Linked DNA regions of Oreochromis niloticus. The protein of the gene in region 2 purifies or fractionates together with the protein of the main gene of each other region. This does not show direct contact. Links are inferred from orthologs where the notes say so. Each region holds a gene or a part of one and is shown on either strand. Other genes may lie near its edges.

The links. The genes of interacting proteins can lie anywhere in the genome.
Region 1: the proteins of grb2b (region 2) and lrrk1 purify together in Homo sapiens (affinity purification with mass spectrometry; 4 studies listed by BioGRID and IntAct, with this or other methods). This does not show direct contact. The link is inferred for Oreochromis niloticus from reciprocal best matches to the Homo sapiens genes GRB2 and LRRK1.

The regions. Positions count from the first base shown.
Region 1 is NC_031965.2:4,655,229-4,662,529, reverse strand, and holds the start of lrrk1 (leucine-rich repeat serine/threonine-protein kinase 1), read right to left. Parts: upstream 3,037-7,301; 5' UTR 2,471-3,036; intron 1,908-2,470; exon of another isoform or gene 1,838-1,907; 5' UTR 1,748-1,837; intron 1-1,747.
Region 2 is NC_031969.2:8,810,615-8,818,704, reverse strand, and holds the start of grb2b (growth factor receptor-bound protein 2b), read right to left. Parts: upstream 3,059-8,090; 5' UTR 2,887-3,058; intron 1,476-2,886; 5' UTR 1,294-1,475; coding exon 1,216-1,293; intron 1-1,215. Other genes in the region: mchr1b (melanin-concentrating hormone receptor 1), read left to right, coding at 6,331-6,394, 6,587-7,614. UniProt on the Homo sapiens protein: Non-enzymatic adapter protein that plays a pivotal role in precisely regulated signaling cascades from cell surface receptors to cellular responses, including signaling transduction and gene expression.

The DNA.
Region 1 (7,301 bases), on a different chromosome or scaffold from region 2:
TCTCTCTGCCTTCAGTTCTGTCGGCAGAACTGAAGGCACGCCTGAAAAGCACGCCTCTATCGTGTTGACATTAGATGACTAACTGATTAAAATCCAATTTTTTTTTTTACCTTGAGAAACTCTTAGGTTGCTTCTGCTGTTTGTTTTAGTGTCATCTATTTGCACATTGTAGCGTTGCCCTATCCATTTTACAAGATATGGCTAAATATGAGCAAGAAGTATGGTGCTGTAGGATTATCCTACTACTCTTACCAGGACTCACATCATCAATAACCACTTGTGTTTGATGGGGGCACAGAGGTAGAGAGGGTGCCAAGCTGCTGTGTCTGTGTTTCAATTCTGATCCCCAAGGATCCCCAGAAGGGACCGGTTCCATCTAACTAACAGCCAATAACCTGCCTCGGGACCACATGTAATGTCCTATCAGGCATAATAGTGCCTAAGATAAACAGACATATGGCTCACTATATGAGCAGAGCAGTAAAAGGATGGGGATGTCGCGAACAACACTAGAGGCCAACTTCAAGCCAACAGCACAAGTCGCCATCAAGTGCGGGATTTACCAAGGAGATGTCCTGTCACCAGTACTGTCCTGCATAGGCCTGACCCCTGACCGAGGGCACTGACAAGACTGGCTATGGACACCGACTACTAGGGCTGGGCCATATCATACCGTTCACGGTAATACCGGTATAATGTTGGGCAACGATAAGAAAATGAAATATCGCGATAGAATATGGGTAAAACGCGCATGCGAAGTGCCTTTGATTTCATACGCACATGGCGGAAAAAGCACGGCAGCGACGGAGAATGAGAAGGGGGAAAGCGGATCGTTGAATGAAACGGATGAACCAGAATTGGTTTGTAAAAATGCTGCAACTTCAGTGATGTGGAACTGGTTTAGCTTTCATCTGTCAGATACACAACAAAGCACTATTTTTGGTAGAGCATGCTAGCGGGCCGTCGTTATTACGGTGTTTTTTGGAAAATACGGCACACTTAGAATCAATCCTTTGATTTTTCTGAAAATCGACAGTGCCCCTTATAATCCCGTGTGCCTTATGTGTGAATTCTGGTTGCATTTACTGACCTCGAAACGATTTAATGTGATACACAGCGCTCAAAAATCTGTCAAATGTTTTAGTACGACTTTGCTAAGCTACAAACCCGCACTGCTTGATAGATTGTCGGAGCATTACGGCTATCGTAGGCAGGAGCCTCGCCGAGTGATACGTACTGTGCTTCAACATAATATTACCATATTGTGTGTGTATAACCTCTTTTTAAGTTTTGTGGATATTATACATGGTTATGCTCAGGATATGTCAGCCAAGTTCCACTGGAAATGCCTTTTTGTTAAACTGTCAGCGAGGAATTTGCATTTGCACTGTTAAATTTTTATATAGCTTTAATGCACATAAAAAACAGCTGCTTGTTTAAGTGAAAATACATTGATGGGTTTTTTTTTGCACTATTAAAGTTGTGGAGTTGTAAAGTATTTTGCCTAGTGTCAATTATATCGTCAGTTATATTGTTATCGCAAAATTTCAAATGTATATCGTGATAAATATTTTTGGTCATATCGCCCTGCTCTACCGACTACAGCAATTGTTAATAGTCAAAACTGAGGGATCGCACAACCAGAAGACAACACTGCAGTCACAGAGGACAGCTACAAGCACCTGGAATCGCACAGGCAAATGGGAACCATGAAGAGACTACTAGGAAAGCGACAAACACCAAATACCTGCGGAGGGTCAGGCAATGTCCCGAGAAGTCGGATGATTGGGAAGGACAAGATCTGGGCAATCTACGCCTACACCCGTAGTCAGATACCCTGTTGGCCATAGGAAGCACTGACAAGGAAGCTCCTTACAGAGTTTCACCCCAAGTCCAGCACCTTGAGACTATACAGTAAACAGAAAGGAGGAGACCGAGGACTAGTGGGAGTCATAACCACTATCTAGCATGAAATACCAAACATCCATGTGCGCATCAGGAAGATGGCCTATAACTGTGCTTAGTAAATACCTCAGGCAACAGAAAGCTGGAAGGACAGGCCCCTGCATGTGTTCCATGCTGCATTTTCTAGCTTTAGTCTGGAGTGCCAACATGAGGTATAACGACTGTGACTGTAGCCGCCGACAGTGCAAATGTCTGTGCATGTCTCTGCTGTGTGGTACAGCAATTTTTATACTCTTTGCCAACTTCTGAATAATAACAATAATAATAATAATAACAATAACAATAATGACTGCTGGAACACAAGGTGCTTTCATTTGTGGGACATGTCACAGAAAATGGGTCAGACTTTGAAAAACACCCTTGTTACTTTTGTTTGTTTTGTTTGTTTTAACAGTAACTCCGTCAAAAAAAAGAGTTAATCAGACAAATCACGACAACTGAGTTACTGGTTTCTGCTTACCATGAGACACAACACATCTTGGCACAGCATTAATATCCAACTTACCGCATGCCTGAAAGGTCCAGTGAGAGACAGAGAGGGTTTTGCAGCTTTGCTGTATATACCAGCCGCGGATTACCTCACAACAATCTTTTACTGGACTTCCTGATTCCACGATAAAAACTTTCCACTCCGGACGAATTTTGAGCAGTCAGGTTGTTTAACACAGAGATTTCCGGTATTAATTTTCAAAATAATATCGATGCCTGATGTGTTTTTCAAAATAAGGTCCAGAAGCGTTGTAAAGGCTTGTAGAAACGCTTTTAGCACAAACACCTTTAAATTCCTATGTGAGAGACTTTATCAATCTCTCGAATAGTTCAGGAAGAATTTTGGCCCAAACGTCTTCGCAATGTTGCATCACTTCATTCAGGTTTCCAGCTATTTTTCCACACACCGGTCTCTTCAGCTCGTTCCACAACATTTTAGTCCGGCTGAGGTCTGAAATTGACATTTTCTTTTTCAAGGATTCTGCAGATTTGATAGTGTTTTTTGGGATCGTTGTTTTGTTGCATGATCCAATTTTAACCTAAGCTTGGTCTCGTGGACAGATGGCCTCACACAGTGGCGGTTTTTGATATGGGCGACATGGGCGCCTTCCATTTTCGAGGTGCGCCTGCTGCTTGCCGCACAGGGAGGGGCGAGGGATTCTCTGGCTGGCTGGTACGGCATTTAATAACCAGCTCGCAAAATAAAACTAAATAAAAACAAACCAACAACCACAAAAACAGAATACATTATGATATAGATTTATAATTTGCACCGATGTGTTTTCTAAATTCTATCACACACATATGCGAAAAGTGAGCGCGATGGCCCTCAGTGCGCCTGCTTGCTGCTGATGCTGTGCTGTTCAGGTCGATCACACAACCTGTCCAAAGGGGGGGGGGGGGGGGGTGCTTCCAAATGGAGCACATTTCATTCATAATGTTGTCAATCCAAGCCTGTTATGTATTAATTATTTTTTCCTGGGTTGTGCGAATCTCTGCACTAAAGTGTAGGTCTGTTAGGTTATGTTGTGGTGATTTTCGGGTTTGGGGATGGGTGTTGATACTGGAGTGCAAGATGAACACCAATGGAAGATTGACAAGAAAAGGTTAAAGCCATCAGGTGCTCAGTGTACAAAAAAAGAGAGAAAAGGAGGAGGAGAAACTAGCAAAAGATACAGGTAAGCAGATATGTCATTGGATGATGGCAGGTATTATGTATGACATGTATCCTGAACAAGATAACATTTCTGTTTACGTTTGTTAGCCACTTGGCAATCTTAGTAAGCAGTAGACAGACACTGATTGTTGATTTGTCTCCTATTCTCATTGTATGACGAATTATAATGGCTGCTTGTTAGCCGTTTACATACTATGCATACGATCTCTCTCTCTCTCTCTCTACACACACATAAAACACACACACACACAAACACACACACATATATATATATATGTATATATATATACATATATATATACACGGGGAACTCAATGTACAACACCAGAGGCCAGCTTCAAGTCAATAGCTAAAGTCAGCACCAAATGCGGGATCTACCAAGGAGATGCTCTGTGTCCACTGCTGTTCTGCATGGGCCCGAACCCCCTCAGTGAGATCATTAACAAGACTGGTTGCCGACTAGGAAATGGAGCAATCATCAGCCAGAGACATACATTCACTGATCCACACCACCAGGATATACAGCAGTGACATCGGAATGTTGTTTGGACTGGAGAAGTTTATCTGGTTAAATTCAGTATGGTTCTGACAACAGTTTTCACAATAAAATATGTTAATGTACAATCCTTAATATGCTTTATGTGTTTAAAGCATATGGTCCCATATAACATGCTTGACTCAATAAATGGAAGGAGCCAGGTCCTGTGGCTGCAAAACAAGAACAAATCATCACCTTTTCACCACTACATTTGACAGCTGATGTGAGGTATTTGTGCTGTGTTTGGGCTTCACCATATGTAGCACTGTGCATTATGGCTAAAAAATCTTTACTTTGGTCTAGTCTGTCTGAAGACAATTGTTGCAGAAGTCTTGTGGCTTGATCAGATGGCATTTTGCAAACCTAAGCCATGCTGCCATATTCTTTTTAGAGAAGAAACGCTTTCAAATAAGTCTTAATCACATGGTCTCACCTCAGAATTAATTTGCTGGGACAGTCAATCCTTGGAAGATGTGACAAATCAAATGAATTAATGACCTGTCATAAATGTCCTTCATATCTCTCCACTATTGTTCATTTGGTCAACTTCCTTAAAGCCTCTTCAGATATAAAGAAATCACATTCTTATAAAAGGCTCACAAAAGTTGTATTTTATTTTGTTCATTCTGAATTTCTATCAAAAGTACAAAGTATGAGAAAACAAGTGCTGCTACCTATGCAATGATAACATTCTTGCTATGACTAGTGCTAAAATGTAAATGGCAAGGTCAGTATTACCTTGTGTAGTACTGGAAACATTTGTTTTTTTTATATTTGAAATGAAATGAACATCTTCCTCAGCAGCAAATATTTATATTAGATTAAATTGGGTCAGAACAAAAAAGTCAATTTGCATACATCAGGAATACTGTAAATGAATGGTATTTCTGCCCAGTCTCCCAAATAAAAACAAATGACTTTGGATGAGTGGATGTTTTATTTGTTTGTGTCTCTCATAAAACCTTCTGTAAGGAAAAGAACAGACAAGGTTTACAGACACATCTATGTAGTCACATGACAGAAGATCATATCTGTTTCTTGTACTTTTCCCGTGGAGAATAACTGAGTTTCTGACTAAGAAACCTTAACTACAGGTTCAAAGGTGAACTGGCAGTCTACAAACATACCAAACTATAAATAGGGTTGAAGATTTGGAATACTTGGAGTGAACAGTATGGGTGTTAGAGAATTGTGATGTGGTCTCATGCGACAGGAAGTGCAGAGCACTCGATTTTCCCAGTTCTTCTCCGATGGTTTCTTTCACTTTGATCATCACTGTTTTCACCTCAGAGTATTCAGCAATAGCATATTCTCCACTGAGCAGACAGAGACAACACATGAGAAAAGTTAGAAAGTACAGATCCAATAAATATAATTAAAGCATATGAATAATGAAACAGCTGAGGCTTATACCCTCTAAAGGGAGTCTGGGGGAGGGGTCTCATTTTATTGACTGTCAGTTCTTTCATGTGTTCAGTAAAGATACAAACCTTTGCAACAGTCCATCCATGGTATAAAGCAGTGGTTCTTAACCTTATTGGAGGTACCGAACCCCACCAGTTTCATATGCGCATTCACTGAACCCCTCTTAAGTGAAAAATAAAATATGATTTTTTTCAAATTCAAGACATAGATATGTTTTTTACTGGTGCACAAAATGAGGTGTGCATGTCACAGCGGAGGCTCTGCCAAACCCCTGAGACCGACTCACTGAACCCGTAGGGTTCGATCGAACCCAGGTTAAGAACCACTGGTATAAATCAAATAAATAAACCATTTACTAATATTTAATTATTTGGTTTTCAGTTTGAGTAGAAATAAGCAAAGATTAACATTATAGTTAACCAGTACATTACATGTTCATTTACACAAACTTTAACATCCCTTTGCTGTTAGGACCATAAACAGGGACTTTAAGGGACTTACCAGACAGTGCCAGTCTCCAGTGCTGCAGACACTGATAAAGCTTTGTCCACACTTGTTGTAAAGCCTGCTGACACTAGGCCATACTGTGTGTGAGTTATTTGCTCTCTCTATGGCCTCCTGTTGGCTCTTAAAGCTGAATATACATTGCTCTGGACCAAAGAAACAGGAACGTATTAGTGAACATCAGCCAGATGTAAAGCATGTAAAGTGGTTCCCAATCTACAACAGTGTATACTATTGCCACTGAGAACAGAAAATGAAAGAGAAATTGCATTTTTTGTTAGTTATTCATGACTATGTTCAATACAGCAAAGACTTTCTTTCTGTTTTTGTTACGGTTTGCGGGGCAAGCCATGTGAATTATTAAAGGACCCAAGATGCAGGTAGCTTCTGAAGTGAGTGAGCTTTATTGTGACGGTGAGATAACAAACAAAGAAAAGAGCGGCGAGAAACAGAACTAGAAACACACTATACTGGGAGAACTAAACTTAAACAACAAAACCTGAACACAAGTGAAAGCAACTTGCAGGGAAAATTCACAGGATGACGGAGGGAGATACACAGACCAGAAAACACCAAATAACGCAGACAAACCAGCCATGCACACCAGAAAACACAGGGCTTAAAAACACACATGGCAATCAGGGGATGGGAAACAGGAGGAAGACACGGCTGGGAGTAATTGGACATAACGAGACAAGGGGAAGCGAAACCAGAAACAAAAACGAGAGACGCAGCCCTACAAAATAAAACAGGAACTCACACATGCAAAGACACAGACTAAGAAACCCGGACTTTACACAGAGGAAAATACAGACAGAATGACTAAACATTAAACTGAGGAAGAACAGAACCAAAAACCAAAATATATCACAACAATAGAAAACACAAAACACTGGGTCAAAGACCCAGGATCATGACAGTTTTTATACATTGTGGCGAGGTGTGGTTTGCGGCTGGTACTGTTTAAGTTACTCAATCAGTGCCAGCCTACCTGCCCTGCCAGCCTCTATGGTGCTCCCCCCTCAACCCACTGCACCACCCCTCTTATGCAGCAGAGCCGCAAACCACACCCCGCCAGTGTATAAAAACAGAAAGAGAATCTTTGCTTTATTGAACATAGCTAAGGGCCTTGCAGCTATTTTGTTGTGTGTTTTCTTCTTTATCATTAGTAACTATATATATATATAGATATATATATCGTTA
Region 2 (8,090 bases):
AGAAAAGTACAATCTAAGGTTTGAAAATTACAACAGAAAAAGGAAGAAGAAAAAACAAAACCCCCCCCAAATAAAATGTTGCCGTATGTGTTCGATTTTTCTAAGTGTCTTTTATAGAAGTACATGACGTTCCCAGTCACTAATGCATGTATTTAATGTTTAATTATGTAAATTGAAAGAAAAAATAAAAAAAGACATTTCCTACTAATTTCTTGGATGGAACTCAGCCATCTGGTGAAAAGCTTGACAAGACAGCCAGCAGTAGAAATTAGTGAAAAAGTTCAGTAATTCCTCGTCTCATATGCAAATTTAATAGAATTTATATTTAGCTCAGTGTTTCCTAATCCGACTTTCTCTCTCCCTCTAGGCCTCCCCCCTCCTGCTGTGATAAGAAGTCTTTTCAAGACTCTCTGCTCAAATCTCTTTTTCAGGGAAAACAGCACCCATTCCCCTGACAGAACCGTCAACTCGTCCGCCAAAGCTGACTGCAAAGTAAAACTAAATGATAAAAAAAACAAAATAAAAAAAAAACCTCAAACAAAAACAACCCCCCCAACCCCCAAAAGTAAACTACAAAATTTGGCATGTTGCATGTTATTGCCCCTAATTTCCATCCACCTATATCACAAAGCAAAGCAGACCTTGCCCATAAAAGCAATTTACTGTGATGAGGAAGACTTGACCACAGGTTTATATTACTAGTCCATAAAAGAAACCTTTACAGCTTTCATCTCTTATTGTGACTTCTCAAAAGTCACATTGATGATGTCTATTTACAATAATTGTCTCTTTGTTGGCGTTTTCTCTACCATTAGAGGGCTCTAACCTTACAATATAAAGTGCCTTAAAGCAACTGTTGTTGTGATTTGGTGCAACAGAAGTAAATTTAATTGAATAATTCATGATTTTAAAAATAGCAGAAACATTTAAGCATAAAGGTTATGCCATCAAATGTAATTACCAAGCATATAATCACATGATAGTGGTGAACTTTGGATATTGAGCTACATCCCAAACTACCTGATGTGTTAGATTTTGTTTCCTTCTATAATAGCCCACTACTGCCTAGATTTAACTTTAATGGCACTTTTACTCAACAGTGCCAGTAATGGATAAAAACAAAACCTTAGGGCAAGAATACGCCTTCCAAAGTTTCATAATTATGAGCAAAACAGACAAATTTGAACATTTAATGCTCAAATACTTGTCACTTACCTTGAGGACATCTCCACGCTTGAAACTAAGCTCATCATCAGCAGTAGCTTTGAAATCGTATTTGGCAATGGCCTCCATGGTCCTTATAGCGTGCTGTAAAACTGCTTATCTGCAGCCGTTTCAGTGACTGAAGAGGGGGAAAAAAAACTAAAAACACGTATCCAGGCTTCTGTGATCAAATGCTTTCTCTGCGTCTCTCCTCCCGTCAATGACCCGTTCCCTTAGGTTTGAGACCTCACATAAAGGTGGCAGAAAGGTACCTGCAAAACAAACAAACCAAAAAACCTAACGTGAAAAACTAAAACTGTAGACAGGCAAATGTTAAACCAAGAAGCAAAATTAAAATTGTCTGTTTTGCATTTTTAGTCTTTAAATTTTCACTAAAAATGCATACTGGCCATACGATTCAACTTTATCCCCTTTGACCTCTGAACAGCCTCTAAAATACAGCACAATTTCATGACCAGTGGCAAACCTCTAACCAGAAATTATCAGAGGATAAGGGAACAAAGTTCACTCCATCGAGTGTCAATTTCAACAGCCCATCCAGACAGCCAACCACCTGGCCCGATCAAAGATAAGACGGTGGTTACTTAAGCAGAGATGACAGTGATACGCTGGCTAAACCTACCTACGGCTATTTAGTTAAACAGATAAAGTTACGCTATCCAATTAAGTTGCTGCTAATATGCTACCGTACAGCCCTGATGGGCTTTCGCTAATACAACCGTGCGTCTAATAAGGCCTTTAAACCTGACAGCCCACCAGATGACCACAGAGAAACACCAAACGGATGAAAAATCCTTTTTTCCTCTTTTGAAAATCTGCATTTCCTTTTCATTTCTGAGAACCTAATTGTTAGGCAATAACAAACGACACACGACATATTTTTCTAGAGAAAACGAATTGCCGTCACCGACTCGTCAAGTCCAAAACGTTACTACATTCGCTTTCGTTTGTGTCTTTTTACAATAACAAAACGCCAAACAACTCATTTGCCAGTCAGCGTTACTGAAAACAAAAGAACAAAAGGGCTCGTCGCTGTCAGAGGTGGCATTAGGCTTAGTATTAAAAAGGGAAGCTTGAAGTCCAAAGGCAGATATAAACTGTAGCTAACCTTAAACATGACAACCTTCTCACACGCACATATTAGTGTGAAAATTATGTGGAATTTTTTCATTTCAAAAAGGGCATGAAGAGCAACAGAGCATGGTTTTATACAGCTTTTTGCTTTTTTTTTAGTCGGGCTCGAGTGAATCGATTCCGTTCCAGCCAACAGACTGCGCCCACTGTTCTAGAACGCTACAGCTAGCATGCCGGCTAACGGTCGGACAACAATAACTGCGATGCAGTATGGTTATCAAACCCGAACCTCAATTCTTCCACACCGGACCATCTGACATCGACATCAATTAAAGCTGGTGGCTGGTCTGAAATAAGTGTGGGGTGTTTCTTAGCACCCGAGGCCTAGTTGCTAGTTTCACGCTAGCAAATGTGAAAAGGAAGAAAACAGCTTTTTTTTTTTTTTTTTTTTTTTTTTTTTTTAAACATAGCGCAAGCTGTTATTGCTACTGCTAGCCCAGCTAACGTTACTGAACTTCACTAAAACAGCGTTAGCAAATAAAACAGTACACAACTTTTGTGCCGACACAACGAGTACTGAAAACTCACCACTTTAGATATTCCGTTTCGATAGTGCCACTGTATAAAAAACCAGCAAAACTCTGTCGTGTAATTATCCACTCCCTGCTTCCTCTAGAGGCAACCAGCAAGGTACGTGTGGTGTCGCTTACACCCGTCCTAGAAGCCTAAAAAACTAGCCACTAGCATAAGGTTTATGACGCTCATTTCCGCTTCCTTCCAAAGAACTGGGAGGATCTGCCTCCGTGTAAGTAAGCTCCTCCCTGCTAGTCTTTTTCAGTGTTAAGGAAAATTACTTTTCACAGAGACATATTAGTTGTTAAGATTCACTCACTCTAAATCGTTCAGTTTCTTTTTTTAATCAACAGCTAAATACCATCTATTTATACCACGTGACTAAGGCACTGAGATCAATTTAGCCAAGATAACTTTTAAATAATCTGGCTTAACTAAACCTAACGTCAGCAATTACACCATCTGATCACGTGAAAACGGCACTCTGAAAGGTTATCCAAGAGGCAGTGACACCACAGCATGGTCAGAACCAAACTGCTTTCATAATCCTCAAAAGAAGAACAAACTATAACATGGAGAGAAAAAGAGGAAATAAAATATGTAATCCGAGCTGAAAGAAAGAAACTCAGCTGCAACCAAAGGAAGGAAAGCTGGCAAAAGATGACAACTGTGCAAGCCAGTACTATCACTAACATCACTACCTGTGAACAGATCAGACTTAATGGATTTAGCCGCTGCTACTGAAAGAAAAGCTATAGGAAATGTGAGTAAACTTGTCCACAAGTAATCCATCTGACTACCTGATAGCCAGGCTGCAGTTTGTGAGATTAGGCAGGGCTTTGTCTGATTTGGTGAAGGTATAGTAGCTCTACAGGAGAGTCTGCTGTCCCCATTTCTGTGTAGTTTGTACACAGACGTTCAGTACAACTGCAGGTCATGGCACTTATAGAAATAATCTGATGACAATAATCTGATTCTGGTTGGGTGTATTAGTGATGGGCAGGCGGAAGAGGAGTATAGAGTACTATAGGATGATATGAAGTGGTAGTAAGTGGTAATAAGACCAGACAGGTGATCGACTTCAGAAAGAAGAGGATGGTTACATGAATGTTGATGTGGTGGAGGACTAAAAGTACCTGGGCATCCACATTGACAACAGACTAAATAGGAAGATGAAACAAAGAAGCCGTATAAAAGAAGAGGATGAGATGGCTCTTTCCCGAAGAAGCTGAAATCCTTCAGTGTATGCAGCAAAAACGATGACCACCTTCTCTAACACTGATTCAGCTCCACTGCCACATGCTATCACAATATATCTGACAGAGAGGCACCTGCCAGATAATATTATCACCATCATTAATATATTATTATTCATCATTTCAGTTGTGTAACAAAAGAATACTCCCAAAATCGGATAAAGATTTATCATCATCATCATCATGTCGTGTGCACAATATGTTTATCCGTATTCTTTCAGCTAAAATCCTGTGGTGTCTAATGGTCGTGAGATGCCAAAAAAAATCATAATTGTGGTGAATAGAAGGCATATAAGGTCAACGAGCCTGCAATACTTTAGGACTCTCATGTAGAGTTGAAATGGCTATAAAGGGCTTGGAGGAAGCAAAAAAATAAAACAAGTGATAAAGTCCCTTATTATTGATCCTAATGGAAAGCTAGAAATTTGAGACCATCTCATTGACAACTCATTGATCTGTGGGCTCTTCTGGGAATAACTACAGTGTTTTCAGAGAGACCTGATTGGTCAGTAGGCTTTGGATTTGTAAGTGTTGATCTGTTATCTTGAAAATAACCTGCTCCAATGAGTGAATAACCTTTATGGCCCTGAAAACTTGTGATGTTGTCTCATTTAGGCCCCGATCCTTTTCTAAAGCACAGGTCTTGAGTCTCTCTTTCAGTCACAGGCAAGCTGCAGGATGGCTATGCATTAATTCATTCACAGACTCTTATTGAGTTTTTCAGCTGTGTGTCCTGACTTAACTTTGTAGGTTGGTCATCTTCTAGTTTACTTTAAACCCCCTAACCGAATGTCAACACCATAGCTGACAAGACAAAAGGACCGCCAAATATGTAAAGGGAGAGAAGTGAACATGACCAGTTCATTGTAAACTAAACATTTACCAACGCCACACCCTAGTTCATTCCCTTGTCTGCAGTCGGCCACAAAACTGTCACCCATATCTATCATTATCCTACAAACTACAATTAACTACTATGACTGTTAACTATAGTCACATACATAACACATTTCTCACTTAGATGCATTTATGTCCATCTGATTTAGTCTGAAATGGGAAATGAAGGACACAGATTCATCCATTTTAGCCGCAGTGTAATTAATTAGACAAAACACAGTTGGACTATTCTACTACTATAGAATAGAACAGAATAGAATAGAATAGCCCTTTATTGTCATTGTCCATGTACAACGAAATTGTGGGTGCTCCAAACCAACTGTGCCCCAATAGCTAAAAGGAGAAATATATACACTCAATATTTATATATACAAAAACAAGAGAAAGGGACACATTAGAGAACGCAGGAATGCAACTTTCTCAATATTATGTTCAAGGATCCATATGGCTTCTCATAAAGGCCATCTCATAAAGCTTTACTTAGCTAACTGCTGGAATATTTGGTCTTCTGTTTTCCTGTTTTCATTTCTTGCACATCTGCTTTTAATCCTGGCCTGTGACAGCAGGCTTTGACAATGCTGCCACCTAGTGGGACTAAACAAAAATCGGTTCTTTCTGTCTTTAACCACGTAAGGGTTGCTACCAGAAATACTTAGTCACATGTTAATACCGCACAGTTGAGATAAGAAATGCGCGTATCTTTTCCAAATATTACACAGCAAACAATATGGAGAGTGACACTGTTCAGTTAGACAATTAATTAGACTGTTTATAACTGATAACCTATCGTGTGACCTCCATCATAACGGCATTGTGAATGATAAAGCTATGTGGTCGGACGGCTAACGCTTTTTAAAAGAAAATAAGGTGGAATGAAGCGAGGAAATCGCCCATTAGGTATTCACTCAAGAATGACTTCCAGTATTACTCACACTGGCGGCGGAGAGTATAGCTCACAGCTGTTCAGTGGGTGACGACACAAAATTAGAAATAAGAATGATGATTTTTGAGCGTCTCCGAGTTGCGGAGTACTTTATCTCGCTGTTGCCAAATATCAGACTCAGAGCTGAAGCGAGCGCGCGCATTTTATTTGTCGCGTGCCCTGCTGAAGTGTCTTGGACAACAAAAACATGCGCGCGCGGCTGAACCTCTGCTATCAAAGCCATAAAGCAACAGTGTAAGCTGTATTTTTGTATGTATATGTATATTTAAAATATGCATTTTTTCTCAAGCTCATCTGTCTTCTTTGCCTTAAACTGATATATAAGTTATTTTAGAGTATATTCGTATTATTCTTCGAGGTTGGATGGAGGACTACATTATGAATTCATCTTCTTCATACCTCAGCTCACCTGACAATCTGGAAAAAGGTAGGATTTTCTTCTTCTCGTTTTTCTGTTGAATTGGGCACATGCATGCAGATTTATCATCATAGATTGAATATTATGTTGTTCATTTTCATGTAAAAAGTAGTTATTGAGACTTTGAAAACAAATGAATGAAAAAAAAGTTATAAGGAAAGAAAGCTGATGGAGAACATTATGTTTTTTCCCTTCTACCAGATCATGAGCAGTACAACAATGTGCTCATGCCCAGCATCTTTGGTGTTATTTGTTTCTTTGGGATCACTGGGAACTGCATTCTCATTTACACCATTGTGAAAAAGACCAAGTTCTGCTGTCATCCATCAGTGCCAGACATATTTATCTTCAGCTTGTCCATCGCAGACCTCCTCTTTCTCCTTGGCATGCCTTTTCTCATTCACCAGCTCGTGGGCAATGGCTCCTGGTGCTTCGGTGGCACCATGTGCACCGTCATCACGGCGCTTGATTCCAACAGCCAGATCGTCAGCACGTACATCCTGACTGTCATGACACTGGACCGCTACTTGGCAACAGTCCACCCCATCCGCTTCAAACACGTTCGAACCCCCTTCGTGGCAGGGGCGGCAGTGGCGCTGGTGTGGGTGTTTTCTCTGGTCTCCATCACTCCTGTCTGGATGTACACTGGACTCATGCGTCTCAAGGACGGCTCGGTCGGCTGCGCCCTCCTGCTCCCAAACCCGGCCACAGATACATACTGGTTCACCCTGTACCAGTTCTTCTTGGGCTTTGCTCTCCCTTTAGTGGTCATCTGCAGTGTCTTCTTCAAGATTCTCCAAAATATGTCAGCCACAGTTGCTCCACTACCCCAGCGCAGCCTCAGGGTGCGTACAAGAAAGGTGACCCGCATGGCAGTGGCCATTTGCCTGGCCTTCTTCTTATGCTGGGCACCTTATTATATCCTCCAGTTGGCCCATCTCGGAGTACAGCGGCCCAGCTTTGCTTTCCTGTATGTCTACAACATTGCCATCAGCCTGGGCTATGCCAATAGTTGCATCAACCCTTTCATCTACATTGTGTTGAGCGAAACTTTCAAGAGGCAGTTCATTGTAGCTATTCGGCCACCCCACAGAGGCTTCAGAGTCGCCCCTGCTCAGGCTGAAGGCTTGAGTTTGAGGGTGGCGCCAGAGAGCTCTCATCCATCCCGCTCGCAGTCGTCGCGGGAACTGCTCCAAAACATGCTGCCCGTCACCGTGGCTGTGCACTGAGATTGACAGCTATCTGGCCACCCGTGACCAGTGCTAACTACCACCCCCAGCAACGAGCCATCTGCCAGTACAGACGTCTCTCTTTTTTCCCTCCCTCCTCGGAAAGCACCCACTGTTTACATCAACACATCACAAGAGAAGGAATTTCTATCCCACACACACTGCGTTAATGCGCCAAGTGGTGATATTACCGGTGAAGTTTGGAGACGTGTTTATGTTTGTTGTGAGGAATAAATGTATCGACTGTAGTCGCCATATTTTTAAAGAATGAGAATGAAAAAAGGAACAATAGGCAACTTGCAGCTGACATGTGCCATTTTTTAAAAATCTCACTTTGTGTAAACTGTGCTTGATTTATCAGTATGGCATCTCTGTAAAGGTTTGATGTAAGGCCAACTTCATCACACAGCTGTGTTATACTTAATGTGTCTTAAATTACTACGTCGTGGTAGCAGAAAAGTGCAGATTTGTCACTG